Caenorhabditis elegans: one gene and its partner. The protein of the gene in region 2 interacts with the protein of the main gene of each other region in a biochemical or structural test. Each region holds a gene or a part of one and is shown on either strand. Other genes may lie near its edges.

Region 1 (8,799 bases), on a different chromosome or scaffold from region 2:
TCTCCACACTGGGAAGGTCATACAGAAAACTAAAGTTTATCAAAAGTCACAATGGAATGCATCTTTTTCAACTCTTATCACAATCAGTTTGCAGTTCTTATCAACAGATCAGATCACAAATCACGACAAGAAGTGACGTTATTGATCTTATTTGCCAAACTGAAACAGATCAGAACACTGTAGAGACGATATACAGATCAAATCAATCACCCGATTTTTCATTCATTCGACAATACAGTTTTAAAGCTAACAGAAGATGAACGGATACAAAAGATAAAATACATCTCAACATGATAATATTATCAGGTTTTCGTTTCTCGAATGATGAGATTTTCATATAGAACTGATACAATTGAATTGATAACTGATAATGGTGACAAGTCAAGCTAAGCATTGATAATTCGGAAAGCTATAAACATCGACATAAAAATCTGATTACAAATCAATTTTCTTAGAATCTTGACAAAATTTCATACAAGACTGAAAATTTGGGAAATTATTATAATTTCCATTTGCTCCATAATAACTCCATCTAGTACAACTATGAACATCATTATTCCATGAGAATCTTGGACGATCTTCAACTCCGTCCATAAAACTTCCATTATCATCTCTTAAAGAGCAAACGTAGTCTTTTGAAGGGCAACATGCTCCGTTAACACATGAATGGAATTTTGGGCAAGCTTGATTTGGAGAGCAAGTGATATATTTTCCATTTGGAATCAAATAGTTTGAACCACAAATATCTGCTTTTCTCCATTGATCGTGCCCATCTCCTTGTGGTACAAATGGTGGAGAGTTTGGTGAGCCGGATTGATCAGCGGAATCATCAGATATAGTATCTGGAGATTCGGTTGTTGAAGATGATTTCTTATTTTGACAGGCATCTCTACATTCTTTCGATGTTGAAAACCTATTTTCATTTCCACCACAACCAGAATACAGGAATGGTTGACATACTTCTGAAATTATACAATGTAATTATCACTGTCATTTTGAAGGGTTCATTATCATTTCAACTTTCTAGTTTTACATTTACTTTTGAAATCAAAAAAGTTCCTGATCAAAAATCATTCTTCATGATTTTAAGACTGGTACGAGAGATGACGACACTTTTTGTGGCAAAGTTTAATACATTCTCTCTTACTGTAAGAAAAGTCTAGGGTGCCCTAATTTTTAATTTAATTATTAATTAGTTTGGCAGTTTTCTGAAACGTTATTTTTAGACAAGATTTCATGATATAATTGTAATTTTACCAGATTTTGATATGCCTTGTTAAAGGCGCAGAGATTTTTTGCCTCGGCTAGCAAAAAAAGTTTTCAATTAAATTACTCTGTTTTTAGCGAATTTCATGGTATTCGTTTTATTTTTCTGTTCGAATTGTCTCAAATGAGTTTTCAAAGTATAATAAAAAATACTACCATCAACTTTTTGGGCGCCGAGATCCGCCTGTATATATCCGTGCGCCTTTAATAAGGCATGCCAAAATCTAGTGAACTTACGATACGAAAAATTTTCAAAAAGCGCTACCCTAAACGAGTTCTTGAAATTTCGAGAATTTAAATGTTAAAAATTGCTTATTATTTAAAAGTATAAATTCTAGTTACGAACAAAATATTATTCAAAACGTTAACTTACTCATTCTGGTATCAAAATAAAAAGATCTTTCTGCTTGGCTTCCACTACATACATTACCACTATCCTTTGGTTGAGTACAATCAAAGCTGAATACAGGAACAAGAAGTACACAGACTAACAGGTGGAATCGCATTTCTGTAGATAAATGGGTTAAATGTTTTTTTTTTTTTAAATTAAATTTTTAAAAGAAAATCCTGATAAAACTGTGGTATCAGTGTTTAGAGAGAAATGGGAAAAATCGCAGAGTTTATAAATGGGGAGAGTACAATGGAACAGTTGAAGTCCAAACATCTGGGTGCTCTCTCGAACTTTTTGAAAATGCCAAAAAACAAATTTGCAAAGATGAACAAGACACACCTAATCTTTTATATTTTCTAATTTTCCACCTACTCTCTATAAATAATCAATGTCAATATTTACTAGATTTTGACAAAAGAAATTCAAAAAATTCGGGTGCAAAAGTCAACAGGAAGAGAAATCAAAAATAGAGAAAGGTAGTGATAGTTCAAAACGCTTGCTTGCATATGGAAAATCAAGTGAAAGTGTATCTTTTCAATTGGAAAGTCTGAAGACAGCAAGTGTTTTAATACAGGAACACATGTGTACATGCCATAACAGTTTGTTTTAAAAGTTATGAACTTGTAGTTTAAAAATTCGTAGAACTTCTCCAATTAACACGTACACTACTAGAATTTTCATTTTTATTTCGTACACAAATGAAACTCTTGAAGGAGACCGATGGAAAGGTCAAGTTGGTACTTGTCAAACAATGACAGAAGTGTGAAGTGCTGAAAATCGAATTAAGTTCGAGACTATCTCGATCATATGATCAAATGAGAAAGAATCGATGAAATTCAAAATTTATTCAGGTCACAGCTGGAAGTAATGGTTTTAGTACAATTCACAGACATTACACGTAGTGATTAATGATAATTTTAAAACGTCAAGAGTTAAACACATTTGATATCATTTCCTGCGAGCGTATTTTTCACGAATACGGCGTTCTCGTTCAGCTGGAGTCTCAGGTACCGCTTGCTCGTGATAGTTCTGTCCCCGTTTATTGACTACAACATCCTCTTCATGATCTGATGAATCTTCCACGTAGTATCCAGTTCGATTGTTTCTAGCTGTCGTTTTTCCAGCTGCTTCTGACGGATAATAGCTAATACTTTGACCCTTTTGATAGAGTGAGTGACATGGTTGATCCGGTTCGTAGGTACGGTATGAGTCAGGAGCTAGAAAAGGTTTTTTTGAATAGTGAAGAGACTTCTCATTTTTGACTTTTAATTCAAATTTTTCAACTGATTTGAGGATTTCATCTTAAAATCATTTCGTAGTATAAAGTGTTTTCACTACGAATGGTTATCAACTTTCAAACATTTTTAATGAATTATTTGATACATTTTGGAATGCGTGAATTATTATATTTATACAATTCTAGCGGACGAATTCTGTGTTTGAATATTGAAAAATTAAATTACCACGATTATCACGTCTCTCATTTGTCCACTGTCTAGAATCAATAGAAGCGAGTCCGTTGTCATATCGAATACTTCGTTCTACCGTAAGTGTTTCTCTCATCAAAGCAGGATTCACACCAGATCCGTATCTAACTTCAGACATTGGTGGTGGTGGAGAATATGCAGCTCTGTTAGCATCACATTCAGCCTGAAAACAAACTATTTCTATCGGATTTAAATACACTACTCACGTCTGCTAGAACATTATCAATTTGTTGGCGAAACATTGGGTCCGAGCGAAGGCGTTGCTCAATAATTGTTAATGCTTCTGGAGGTATAACACCGTCTCTTTTGATAACTTCTCGTGCCGAAGCGATCTTAAAACGGAGTACTTTTTGATTTATTTTTTATCTGAATTCTCACTTTACTAGCTGGCTTCTGCTGTCTTGATTGACGAGGACTCTCATGAAAATTTTCTTTGTCTTTTTCAACTGGTTCGATCGCTTGCTGTTTAGGAATCGTTATCTCTGAAAAATTATTATTTATTGAATTTATGGGATAATATATATTCAAACATACTCTGAAAGAAGTTTGACATCAATTCTTGCATTTTAACAAGATTTTGAGCATTGAGCTCTTCTTGTCGCCGGGCCGTTTCTTCTTGAATCTCTGTTCGTATCGTTTGCAGTTCTGTTTTCATAGCGTCCCGCCAGTTTTCAGCTGCCTGTTCTTCAGTCGTTGTCGTATTTTGGGCAGACATTGTTGAAGCAAGCACTTTTTTTGAATTCCGAGATGTTCCCTGAAAGATAATTTAGTGGAATTATGCCATGGAACAATTTTAATTTAATTACCTCGACAGTTTGGGAAACGTTAACTGTTTTTCCAAACGCAACTGTTTTTTGGCGAAGCGCTGGATGCGAAGGTGGCTCTTTTCTTGGTTTCGGAGCCGAAAGACACGATTTTTTCTTGGCTACTTCTACAGCGGCGACAATTGGCTGCGTAGATGGTACTGGGGGTTTTGTCCTTTCTTGTGGAAGCTGAAGAACTTCTTGAAAGGCAGGGACTTCAGAATCTTCGAAGACTCTCGGTTGATCCACAAACTCCTGGACTAAATTGGCAATTTTAACACTTTTATATCGAAAACAACTCACCAGTTGGTTTTTTGAAGTAAATAGAGCAGGGTAAGTCGTCGTAATTATTCATTCCCGCTTAATGCGAGGTCATTTCTGTTAAAACTATGAAATTGGAAAATAAAACGTTTTTTCTTTAAAATTGGCGCGTTGGTGTCGCGGGGGCGTGGCCTCTGCTGCAACCCCCGCGCACATTTTTTGCAAGATGAGCGCGCACATTGTATATTTTCTCACATTTCTTTTCGCATGACCATTCGGGGACGAAAGAAGATTGTAATTAAATTAAATGATATTATTATAAAACAACAGAATTTTCTACTTTCTCATATTATCTGCAATTTAGAAGAATGTTCCTGATCAGTTGAACAAATTTAGATTGACAGATTTTCAAACAAAAAATCTTCTCAACCTACACAATTTTCCAATGTATTAAAAGTATTAAAAAACAAGTAAACACTCCCGACTGGTTTTCTAAAAATTCCGAGAAAATTTTTCCTCTGTACACAGATAGACAGCGAGACACAGAAAAAGTGTCTCAAAATAAATCAGCGTGGTAAAAAAGTCAGTGCGAAGGAGCCAACAGTATATGTACATTATACACACAATGTTTGCTCCGTGGGGTCAGATCAAAACTGGAATTTGGATTTGACTGTTGGTGGTGTTGCACGGTAGCAAGAGCTTACACGATTGCCAGTACAATAGTTTAAAGGGGCGGGAATCTCGATGGCCTATTTAAAAGAAATCCAGAACTCGAGTACAACATTTTCACGTGGCAAAACTAAAATGGCACTTAGATTGGCTGTGGTGAGTTTTAAAATCCTTTTAATTATGAGGTTTGAAACTTAGTTAAATTAAAAACTACTAAATCCAGAAATAGATCTACTTTAGATCTACATACGACTTTCAGTTAATTTAAATGTAATTATTATTTAGATTCTCTCCCTATTGTCTTTCACTGCGGCTCAATCGACTTCTGTTGACTGTTTTGCTGCACGGGACTCTGGAAATACTTGCGCTGAGAACAGTTCTTCTAGAATGTTCTATTATCTTCCAAGACTTGGAACGTGTCAACCATTCATGTATCAGGGATGTGGTGGTAATAGTAACCGGTTCAGTAGTGCACAAGAGTGTAGATCAGCTTGTACCAATGCTCAAGCTCAAAGAGACTCGGAGTCAAGTGATGAAACCGTTCAAATGAAGTGTAAGTGAGGTTAGCTAGTAACTATGGCAATTATTCTAAAAATTTTAAGCTGCTTGCTCTGCTACCTATGACACTGACCACTTGACACCAGTGAGATGCTCAGCAGGAGCTAATACTTGCCCACAGGGTCATAACTGTATTCAATCATTCTGTTGTCCAACATCCAGTAAGCATCAAATGTTTAAATGTTTTATTCTTAAATTTCAAATTCACAGACTATCTTTGCAACTTGACATATGACTCTGGAAAGTTTGCTGTCGGAGGAGAGAAAAGTGACAAATACTTCTGGGTTCCAAAATACACAACTTGCATGCGTTTCTCATTCTATGGAACTCTCGGAAATGCCAACAACTTCCCCAACTACAACTCATGTATGGCAACCTGTGGAAATCAAACAAGAACTTCCCAATAAGACGATATTTGAATTCCTGGAATTATCTGTATTATGAAAAACAAGTTATTTTTAAGAGTTGGCATTTTTGTAGTTTTTTTTCGGGTAATTTTCAAAGTATGATTTAACTGTATTATCATCCACTCATAAACAATTTTTATCTCATTTCTTTTAAATATTTTTTATATAATCTAAAAAATAATTTTGAATGTGATGCAAAAATAATAATTTATATACATTAAGGCAACGTTTTTCCTTTTGGGAACTACAAAACTTCAGTTATATTTATCCTGTAATTTGTCTCCATGTCAAGAGTATGGTTTTCAATCAAAGTACAACCAGGTTCGTTTATTATTCAGCCCTAGTTTAAAGTAAAATCTATCACTAAAAATAATACCCCATTTTCTCTAATAGTATTGCGACCCACACCTATAATATCAAACTCACATCTATAACCAGTAAAAAATTTTACAGAAAAATATCTATAGAAATACTTCCTTTTTTCTCTTTATCTGAACCTCGTTTGCAAACTCAACACGGAAGTAACTAGAACCAATTGCATCCATTTTGACATACTCTAAACAACAAAAAACACCGTTTCACAACAATTTTTTATCTTTCTGTCCAATCCTTCCACTTCCTGAATGAAACAGAAACAATCATCAAATCCAAAGATAACAAGAACACATTAGATCAATTGAACATTTTGCAAGCAATCGGAACAAATGTTTTTATAATTGTGGGGGATCATGCTGTAACTGAGCTTTGTGGTATAATAATCCATACATTTCTGTCACGTTTTTTAAACTGACAAGAAAAAGGTTTTTAGTTTTTTTTTTAAACGAGATATGTGTCATTTGAAAGTGTTCCATAAGGATATGTCACTGCAAATTTTTAAGCGGCAAAGCTCCACTCTCAACCCCTCTAGCATCAGTCTGAAACTGTTCCAGTGCATTTTTTCACTACTTTGGAGGCCTGTAGAATTGCTCCAAAATTTTTTTTTGCAAACTTTCAATGTTTTTCAGAACGTTTACAAGTAGGCAAACAATCTGGGAGATTTTTGAAAAATTTTAATTTTTTTGAAAAAAATCTGAAAACTCGGACCGAGTGGTGAGAAATGTAGTCACACGGCCGGAACAATGAATTTCTTACAATTAGCAGAAAAGTAGATGTAGGTTGCTTTCCGGACGAGCTACGCCTGCTTCGGTGACAGGTCCCTGGAAGGTGCCTACTTTTTAAATGCAAATAGTACTTCAAAAACAGTAAAAATATTTTTTCAACTTAAAAAATTATTGTAAAAGCGTATCAATTACTCAGGTTACAATTCACTAGAAAAATGGATTTTAAGAAGTCTATTCGGAGCTAACTGAAACTAAATGTTGTGTATTGAGCGAGTGACAAGGAGAGAAGAAGTTTATTACAAGAGAGTGTAAGAAGTAATGAATTATAAAGAGAGGTCGCTTAGGCGATAAGTTCATGATGACCCAAAGGTCACGTCTGTATAAAGTTCAGGTTTACGTTCCGTCCACAACATCTCCCCTCTTATATGACAAAAAGCCAGAAATTATGCCTGGGCTAGGGGCATCACGACCAGAGGCGGTATATCGACCTCTGCGGCGAGTGGAGGCATGATCAGTGTTTGGGGCTGATCCTCGCACAACTTGTCGTGGGTGGCTCTGTCGAAGAGAATGACTAAGGAGAATACCGGGTTGGAAACGCTCGCCGTCACTCGCAACATCGGATTCCAGCAGGGGGTCCAGATGGGTTTCTTTTATTGGCGAACTTCCAGCAGTATCCTGATCGCCACTGTTGTGTATTGAGCGAGTGACAAGGAGAGAAGAAGTTTATTACAAGAGAGTGTAAGAAGTAATGAATTATAAAGAGAGGTCGCTTACGCGATAAGTTCATGATGACCCAAAGGTCACGTCTGTATAAAGTTCAGGTTTACGTTCCGTCCACAACATCTCCCCTCTTATATGACAAAAAGCCAGAAATTATGCCTGGGCTAGGGGCATCACGACCAGAGGCGGTATATCGACCTCTGCGGCGAGTGGAGGCATGATCAGTGTTTGGGGCTGATCCTCGCACAACTTGTCGTGGGTGGCTCTGTCGAAGAGAATGACTAAGGAGAATACCGGGTTGGAAACGCTCGCCGTCACTCGCAACATCGGATTCCAGCAGGGGGTCCAGATGGGTTTCTTTTATTGGCGAACTTCCAGCAGTATCCTGATCGCCACTGTTGTGTATTGAGCGAGTGACAAGGAGAGAAGAAGTTTATTACAAGAGAGTGTAAGAAGTAATGAATTATAAAGAGAGGTCGCTTACGCGATAAGTTCATGATGACCCAAAGGTCACGTCTGTATAAAGTTCAGGTTTACGTTCCGTCCACAACACTAAAATTTTTGAGACGAATATCATTAAATCTTCATTGAATTAGTGAAATGAATATTCCTTTTTCGTTTTTTTTTAAGTTTTTTTACATCGATCAGCAACATCAGGTCAAATTTTAATGTTGATCTATCCCAACCCACTTTTGTGATGCCATTGTGAGTCAGAACTCTAATTCCACGTTTCATTGATGTTGATCTAATTTTCTTCTTTTCTTTTCTCAACAGAAAATTGAAAACATTGAACACGAGTAACCACTGAACTCTTCGGGAAAAAGAAAGAAAAAAGAAGTTAGGAGAGTTATTGTTTGGGTACGCGAGAACTGTGTCTCTGTCGAAGTAAATATAAAAAGAGAGACCGAGCACCATCAGAGCTCTCACCTAACTTTGCCAACTCTACCTTTTCCCATTTTCTTTTCATCATGTTATATTCTTGGCAAGGAACGAAAATGTTTTCTGTTACACTGTTAGTGGTTTCATGCGGCATTTTGGCAGCTGCTTATCCATATTCTCAACAATATGGAAACTACGATCAACAATATTCTCAACAATCTCAATACTATCCATCATCTGGACAGCAAGGATACCGCG
Region 2 (8,799 bases):
CACTACGAGAACCCGCGAAATGTCGGATCACTTGACAAGAACGATCCAAGCGTCGGAACAGGAATCGTCGGCGCTCCAGCTTGTGGAGATGTCATGAAATTGCAGATTCGAGTGAGTTTTTTCACATTTTCCGGGGAAAAAATTATTATATTTTAAAGCTAAAAACATTTCCAGGTCGACGATAACGGAAAAATCATCGAAGCCAAATTCAAAACATTCGGATGTGGAAGTGCAATTGCCTCATCTTCCCTGGCAACCGAATGGATTAACGGAAAAACTATCGATTACGCGTCGAAAATTAAAAATGACGAAATTGCCAAAGAATTGTGTCTTCCACCAGTCAAACTTCACTGTTCAAGTGAGCTTTTTTCCCTATTTTTCTCGATTTTTTTCGCAACTAAAAATGTTTCAGTGCTCGCCCAAGACGCCATTCAAGCCGCTTTGAAGGATTATCAGAAGAAGCAGACTAAGAAGGCCTAAGCCTGAAGAATGTGTAATAGACAATTTGTTTTCGTTATAGAAATCGCTATATATAAAAGAGCTTTTTTGTCACCTTTTCAGTTGCATAATGACGAATTCCAGCGGAATGCGACAGAAGCTGTCTCATTGTGATTTTGACGTCTTCGTTTTTGAACTTTTTCGCCGGGAATTCAGGAAGATATTTCTGAAAAAATTAATTTCAGATTTTCCCTTCCGTTTTAAGTTGCAAACCCGAATATCCTCATCAAGATCTAATGTTCCATTTTCAACGCACTGTGCTGCCAACGTGGCAGTTATCGGCTTACTGATGCTCGCAATTCGCATCACAGAATCTCCTGTACATTTTGCAAAACTTTCGAGATTTGCATACCCAAATCCACTTTTCCAAACCATTTTTCCATCCAGCGAAACTGCAATCGAAAGGCCTGGAATACCTTGAATAGCCTGAAAATAATGTCGAATTGGAGAAAGTTATTACACAGACTTGGAATTTAGAGATTTTTCCGCAATTACCTGGTCTCGACACGACAAATTTTTGTTAAATATGAGAAGGTGTGCGCCTTTAAAGAATACTGTAATTTCAAATTCTCATTTCTGTGGAATTTCAATGGATTTTTCACGATTTGTCAAAATATGAGTGTTCTTACTGTTTTTTACAGAAAAAATCGGGGTTTTTCCGATAAAAATATAATTATTTAGTAAAAAACAGGAAAAACACCTATATTTTAAAAAATCGTGAGAAAAATTCCACGGAAACGAGAATTTCAAAAGTGACAGTACTCTTTTAAAGGCGCACACCCTTTCGCATTAAACAAAGTGTCGCGTCGAGACCCGGCACCGTATTTTTGGTACAAAAATCGCAAAATTTCGAGTTCCCAACCAACCATCGTCGTCTCCACTAGCTCCTTGGCTTTTTTGATTTTCAGCAAATTTTCAGATTTTTCGCTTTCCCTCCGGAAAACTGTGGCTCCCAATGGAACAGCAACAGCGGTGGCACCAAGAAGCATCTTTGGACAGGAAGTGTACCATGACATGCTGGAAATTTTTTTTAATTTTTCCAAGCTCTGCGAGCTAGTGACAAATATTCCAAAGATGAAGCAACAAATGGTTCTAGGTGGCAAAAAATAACTTGAAAAATTAAATTTTTATTTTATGTAACAAGCAAAAAAAAAGAAAAAATTAAGCAATCGACGGAGATGGCGGCTCAATTACTTCGATGAGAGCACTGGCTTCCTCGGCTTCGATGAAAGCGTTCTGAAATAAAATAAATGACTATTACGAAAACTATGAAACATCCCAAAACCTTCACTAAATTACACAAAATATTAGAAGAAGCGTCGTCAGTGGCCTGAAGAAGATGGAGTTGGTATCGTGTAGTTGTGCTTTTTTCGACGAAGACTATGTTGGTTCTGAAATTGTTATTAAAATTACGGTCTCAGGTCTCGAAGCGAACGGAATTTTTTCTTGGTGATTTTCATCTAATTCATAATTAACCAATCGCACCTTCCAAATCCATCGGCATACGTCGTCAAAAGTATCAGCTCGATCAGTGGAATCCTCAGTTTCACTAATCGTGTTCTTCTCGAAGAAATCCGAAGTCCGTGCTTGGTGACCTCCATGTAAACCTTAAAATTCAAAGTTTTAATTATATTTCAACAAAAAACGGGATCTTCTGCGATTTTACACCAAAATTACGGTTTTGGGTCTCATCGCGACAAATTTTTGTTAACTATAAAAAAAATGGTGTGCGCCTTTAAAGACTACTGTAATTTGAAACTTTGTGAGTTTTCACTGATTTTCCAACGATTAATAACTGTTTTCTTGTAAAATATATTTTTTTATCGAAAAACAAAACAAAAAGAAAATCGATACAACAACAAGAATTACACGTTACAGTATTTACTCTTTAAAGGCACACAACCCTTTGCAAATAACTGTGTCGTGTCGAGACCGACAAAAATTCTGCGTTTGTGTAATATTCCCAACCTCCTCATGAGAATCCCCGTTGTTTTTCGGTAATTTCCCTAAAAGTTGGCTATTTTCCAAGTGCTCAACAATTTTTTCCTCGAGAGATCGACTGCAAGACGTTCCATTTTGAATTAGAGAATTTATCTGGAAAATTAAATGTTTTTTTTCTGAAGAAAACCTAGTAAACTTTAAAAAATTCCTTACCTCTTGAACTGCCACGTATAATGCTGAAATTTTCGGGTCTGTCATTTTTTTTTTTGAAAAATGTTCAAGCGAGTTTCTGGCGTCATAATGTTTGCGGAGGACTCCCAACTGATAAAAACCTTCCCCATTTGAAGTGCTGGCGGTGGCCTAGAAATCTCAATGAAATAAGCAGAGTTTTATTTTCAAGTAAAGGACAAGAAAAAATCAATAAAAAAGATTTTATCGTTGAGCGGGTGGGGTGTTCGTCACACTTGAACCAGTAGTCTCGTCGGCGATTAGTTGACTGTTGAAACGAAAAGCATGAGGAGTTGCAATTGTCGAATTTTGGAAATTAAGAGTTGTATTGTCACGGAATGGGGTGCGCTGAAATTTGAACAAATTAAAATATTTTTTTGAGTTGAAACAGTTCGGAAAAATGCTCAAAAATTGTGTGAAAATTGGAAATTGCCGGAAAAATCGATAATGTAGCTCATTTCGTAGAACTTCTACTAACCGAGTTCAAATTAGCTCCATATGGAGTGTGGGGTCCAAGAACAGGCTTGAATGATGGTGTAAGCCTATTTGTTAGTCCGGTCTGAAGCCCGGGAAGCCCAGAAGGAGCTGGACTAAACCGTTGGGCTCGGTAATGGGCAATTTTTTCTTTAAGATTCTCATTCTCCATGCTCAGCTTCTCAAAACTATCCATATTCTCGGCGGCCTTTAATTTCTCGTTCTCCAGCTCCTTCCTCAAGATTCCAATAGTTTCAGTGAGACTCTCAACCATCGAATCTTTTTCCTTCAAATCAGCTTCCAGCTCTCCTAGTTTTCTCATATCCAGACTTTGTTGATTCTGTTGTTGGGAGTTTCGCTTCAACAGCTGATCGGCCTTCTCCAGGTTCCGTTGAGCCGTGCCAAGTTCTGCTCGAAGCTTCCCAATTTCTTTCTGATGAGCCACATTTCGTTTCTGAAGCTGATCCACTTTTCCTTGTTCTTCTCTCAACATATTTCCAACAATCTCCAGCTCCTCCTGATTTTCTTCCAATTGCTTTTGCAGCGACTCCGTGTCTTGTTTCAAATCAGCCACTTCATCTTCTTTATCCTCAACTAATAATCGAATATTCTCTCTTTCCTCTTTCACCAGCTCCACCTCATCTTCCAGCTCTTTAAACTTTTCTGACATTTCTTCGAATTCCTCCTTCACACCAGACAGTTTTTCAACTTGTTTTTCCAAATCTCCACATTTCTGCCGTAGGCTTGCTAGCTCATCTGCAGATTTATAAAAAGTGGAGAGTTTCACTGCTTGACTGGAACAAATTTTCAGAAGATGTGAAATTAAATGATCTCCGCGGACTGCGTGAAGCTTGATGGAAAAGATTTTTCCTTTCGAAATAGGAGTCTTCGAGAATAGCTCAAATCTGGAAGAAAATAAAAAATTAAATTTCAATATTAGGTAATCTATTTCCCTTACGAGCAAAAATTCTTCTCGGCATCCAAAATAATATTGATTTCCGTCGGCTTTCCTGGATCAGCAATACTATGATAACCTGCTTTTTTCCGTGCATCAACCTCCCCATCTTCTTCCAAATTTTTCACAATATTTTTACATAACAAGTGTTGAATGATAACTTTCGGAAAAGCATCGAAATCCACTGTTAAATCGTGATCTCGAGCCAAAATCTGATATTTCTCGTTGTTCAACGTTTCCGAGAATAGAAATTCAAAATCATCGGAGCGGCTGATTTCGAATTTTAGCTCCTTTTCTCCACTGGTTTCGTTCCTTTGCTCTGATATTTTCAGCTTAACTTTTGTTTTGTATGCCCTGAAATTCTGTTACTTTTGAAAATCGTTTGCTCCCTTTTCTTACTTAAAATCCGGTTGATTTAGGCTCAACGGCTGTAGAAGTGAGGCGATGAGTGTTTGATCGAATAATGCAATTTTGCTAGTCATTTTTGTGGGAGAAAATCTGAAAAAAATTATGTTAAAAATAGGAAAAAACAGCAGAAAATGAAGAATAAAAAATTTGCGCAAAAACAATAAATTTGAGATGGCGCGCTCTATGGGACTACGGTGTGCGATTGCGGACTTGGCAATTGCGGACAAAACATTGTAAACTACGCCTAACAAAAAATCGCATTTTCTTTTTTTTTTCACAAACTAAAATTCCCCATTTCAGCCCATTTTCCGTCAAATTTTCACATTTTTGAAGATTTAATAAGGGAAAATAGAGAGTTTCCCGCATTTTCAATCATTTCTACAATCCTACGTCGTTTTTTTCTTGTGTGAGCCACTTATCCCGTTTTTTAACAATTTATCTCATTTTTCAGCTTTTTCAGCTTTTCCAGCAAATGAAGCGCATCCAGTCGGAGCTCTTTGCTCCTTATCGATTCTTGGGTGTGGTAACCGGTGATGTAAGCTTTTTTTCCGAATCTGAAGTGAAATTACTTATTTTTTCCAGGTCGCCCCGTCAATTCGTTCAACATTTGTCGCAAAAAAGTCGGCATTGTCAGTTTTGTGCCCAATTGATAATGTAATCATGCAATACAATGGAAAAAAGCTTCGTGCGATTGGAATGTCGGAACCTTTAAGCGATAAAGTGTCAGCAGTCGCGTCTTCTAGCACGTAAGCGGTTTAGAAAAATGCAAAAATAATTATATATCATTTCAGGAGCGTGTTCGCTGCTCACGGAACCAACATTACTTCTCTAGCATTCTGCAGAGATATCAAAGATTCCATCGACTTGGGCGCCAAGATCAAAATCATGACATTAATCGGAACTCAGCTGATCGCAGTTGATATTTCTTCTGGAATCCACGTCATTGATACATCAGAAGGAGGCCTTCAAATGAGCCTATTGATGGAAGGATCCGACGATTTTGAAATAACGGCAATCTGTCACCCATCCACGTATTTGAATAAAATCGTGGTCGGCAGTAGCACTGGTCGAATGAAAATTATCAATTTCCGAACTGGAAAAGTGATTCATGAGTTCCAGCGAAGTTTCGACTCGAGAATCACAATTATCGAGCAAACTACTGCCTTAGATGTGGTAGTTGTAGGGCTGGAAAATGGTGAAGTGATGCTTTTCAATGTGAAAATGGATAAGATCATCACATCGTTCCGACATGACGCAAAGATCACTAATGTCGCTTTTCGGTGGGTTGTGTTTTAAATTGAAAAATATTATTTAAAAAAATTATTTCCAATATTTTCAGTGACGACGGCGAATCAACAATGGTAACTGCCGATAAGAACGGAACAATGGCTGTGTGGGATCTCGAGAAGCAGGAATTAATCGGAAAAATCACGGGAATTCACTCTGACGAGATTAATTGTCTCTATTTTGTTCCAGGGGAGCCTATCATGGTAATTTCCTGTTAAAGGTGGAGTGCGCCCAGTGGGAAAATTGCTTCAAAACACGCCTATGGGGTCACAATGACCGAATATCATGATAAAAAATTCAAAAAATTTTTCCTGATTTTATATGATTTTTTGAAATTTGAAAAAATCTCAGTTTTCTCCTAATTCCTATTTGAATTTCCGCCAATTGGAATCGTTCGATGGAGCGCACTTGCCTTATTTTTATCAATTTATTTTATTTTTTCTCATTATTTCACTGATTTTCTCCATTATTTGTGTATATATTTATCGGAAAGAGAAGTAAAAAAGCAAGATTAATGCAAAATGTTTGTTTAAAAGTGATTAAAAATGCGTAAAACTGTAAAATTATGATTTCCGACGACAACAACAAGATTTTTTAAAAAACACTTTGCATTTATCGTGAATTTTTCTCTCTTTTTCCGAAAAAAATACACAAATAATAAAGAAAATCAGCCGAAAAATGAGAAAAAAATAAAATAAATTAATAAAAATAATGCAAGTGTGCTCCATCGAACCATTACAATTGGCGGAAATTCAAATAGGAAATAGGGGGAAAACTGAGATTTTTTCAATTTTCAAAAAATCATGTAAAATCAGGAAAAATTTTTTGAATTTTTTTATCATGATATTCGGTCATTGTGACCCCATAGGCATGTTTTGAAGAAATTTCCCCACTGGGCGCACTCCACCTTTAAATTCCGAAGAAAAGGTTAAAATTCAATTTTTTCCAGCTCTCCGCTTCACTGGATAACTCTCTGCGTCTCTGGATTTTCGACAGTGCAGATGGAATGCCACGTGAACTTGTCCGCCTGGAAGGACACTCGAAACCATGTGCCAGTATCAAATTTGTTGGAAAAGATCACGTTTTGTCGGCCGGAAAAGATGGATCCATTCGAAAATACGATGTTTCTTCGTTGACAATGAGACAGAAGCTTGGCACAGTTGGACAGGGTGTTAAATTGAATAAAGAAGTTCAAAATGTAGCTGAAATGGCGTTTGGATGGCAACGAGAAGCTGCATGGAATAATGTGTTTTGCAGACAAGTGTACGGGAAACGCTTACTTAATATGTGCCAAAAAGAACGAAATTCCCGGAAAATTGACTCAATTTTGGCTAAAATCTCCAATTTTGTCAACTTTTCCGGTTGGAAATTACCTTTTTTTTCGATTTACACCTTTATTGCATTTTTTTATCGTTTATCTCACATTTTTGGTTTATTAGGGTACACTCAAAGGTGGAGTAGAGTCAAAAATCAACCGTAATGACAATTATAACTGTTAAAAAGTTAAAAAAAAATATATATATAGTCACAGTATCTTTCGGCTAATTTCCTTTAAATAACGAAAATTGACCGAAAGTAACTGTAAATATATTTATTTTTTAAAAGTTTTTTACAGTTATAATTGTCATTATGTTTGATTTTTGATTGTACTCCATTTAAATGCATCTTAAATAGCGAAATAACGTGATAAAAACTATCAAACAATAGCAATAAAGGAAAATAAAATTCAATAAAAATTTAATTTCCGGCTGTTGTGACACGGAAAAGTAGGCAAAATCTGAGATTTTAGGTGAACTTAAGCCATTTTTAAAGGTTGAGTACCGAAATCTGAGAAATATTTTTTAAATGACTTCAAATTTTCCCCGGCTTCGGAATATCTAAATGAAAAAATTCAAAAAAATTTTCCTGATTTTATATTTCAACTTGAAATCGCATTGCGTCCCCATGAAATTTTTCAAACGCCGAATTTTCGCGCCAGAGACGCCATGTGTCGATTTACGAGATTTGTGTAGATTTTCGAAATTTTTTAATATTTATCAGATGCTGATTTCCGTTTTTCAACGAGTTTCCTTCATTTTCGTCGGTTTTTGCCAAAGTTTTTTTGAAAATGTGTGTTTTTTTTTAAGTCAATTAAACATTGTATTATCAAAAAACTAATAAAATTTTCGATTTCCGTCGAGTTGTGACCTAAAAATTGGAAATTTTGTTAGTTTTTTGATAATATAATGGTTAATTGACTTAAAAAACACATTTTCAAAAAAAAAACTTAACAAAAACCGACGAAAATTAAGGAAACTCGTTGAAAAACAGAAATCAGCATCTGATAAAAATTGAAAATCTCGTAAATATACACAAATCCCGTAAAACGACACATGACGTCTCTGGCGTGAAAATTCGGAGTTTGAAAAATCCCATGGGTGTAGAAGCGATTTCAAGCTGAAATATAAAATCAGCGCAATTTTTTGAATTTTTTGAATTTAGATATTCGGAATCAGGGGAAAATTTGGAGTAATTTAAAAATATTTCTCTTTTATGATTTCGATACTCAACTTTAAAGGAATTTTTCAAAAGTTTCATTTTAAAAAATTATTTATTTGAGCAATTTTTGAGCACACTTTTAGTCTCCACAAGCAAAAACCTCCTATATATTTCCAGCTTCTAATGTTTCCTTCCTATTCCAGAAATGACACAAAAATCACCACATGGCAAACGAGAAACAACACCTCTGGAGCATTTACACTGGAGCATGATCGTTTCAAGAAAAAAGTGGATTTTATTGATGCAAATGCGACTGCTCTCTGCGTATCACCTTGTGGAAATTTCGTATTTATTGGATATTCTACAGGTCATATCGATCAATTTAATGCTCAAAGTGGCCGCCACGTTCATTCATTTACTGCTTCCACCACTGTGAAAAAGAGCAAGAAGTCTAAGAATCCACGAAAAGGTCCCACTAAAACCAACGGCGATATTCACAACGACACTCCGGCTGCCGATTCTCCGATTAC

What was found.
Region 1: the proteins of sas-6 (region 2) and sas-5 are reported together in a solved structure, tested with the Caenorhabditis elegans proteins (one study listed by BioGRID).

The regions. Positions count from the first base shown.
Region 1 is NC_003283.11:11,606,282-11,615,080, reverse strand, and holds sas-5 (Spindle assembly abnormal protein 5), read right to left. Parts: upstream 4,345-8,799; 5' UTR 4,303-4,344; coding exon 4,251-4,302; intron 4,208-4,250; coding exon 3,951-4,207; intron 3,899-3,950; coding exon 3,679-3,898; intron 3,627-3,678; coding exon 3,523-3,626; intron 3,477-3,522; coding exon 3,351-3,476; intron 3,308-3,350; coding exon 3,121-3,307; intron 2,875-3,120; coding exon 2,606-2,874; 3' UTR 2,485-2,605; downstream 1-2,484. Other genes in the region: tag-290 (BPTI/Kunitz inhibitor domain-containing protein), read right to left, coding at 436-962, 1,640-1,772; piit-1 (BPTI/Kunitz inhibitor domain-containing protein), read left to right, coding at 5,013-5,033, 5,163-5,430, 5,480-5,596, 5,646-5,842; idpp-16 (Prion-like-(Q/N-rich)-domain-bearing protein), read left to right, coding at 8,658-8,799.
Region 2 is NC_003282.8:13,784,132-13,792,930, forward strand, and holds sas-6 (Spindle assembly abnormal protein 6), read right to left. Parts: upstream 4,601-8,799; 5' UTR 4,579-4,600; coding exon 4,496-4,578; intron 4,451-4,495; coding exon 4,100-4,450; intron 4,047-4,099; coding exon 3,146-4,046; intron 3,016-3,145; coding exon 2,872-3,015; 3' UTR 2,814-2,871; downstream 1-2,813. Other genes in the region: lact-9 (Beta-lactamase-related domain-containing protein), read right to left, coding at 554-664, 712-924, 1,365-1,514; iscu-1 (NIF system FeS cluster assembly NifU N-terminal domain-containing protein), read left to right, coding at 1-111, 175-358, 413-480; icap-1 (Integrin Cytoplasmic domain-Associated Protein homolog), read right to left, coding at 1,660-1,734, 1,784-1,889, 1,984-2,105, 2,467-2,592, 2,653-2,697; Y45F10D.7 (Small-subunit processome Utp21 domain-containing protein), read left to right, coding at 4,977-5,039, 5,087-5,250, 5,296-5,784, 5,844-5,994, 6,741-7,054, 8,473-8,799. UniProt on the Caenorhabditis elegans protein: Central scaffolding component of the centrioles ensuring their 9-fold symmetry. Required for centrosome biogenesis and duplication.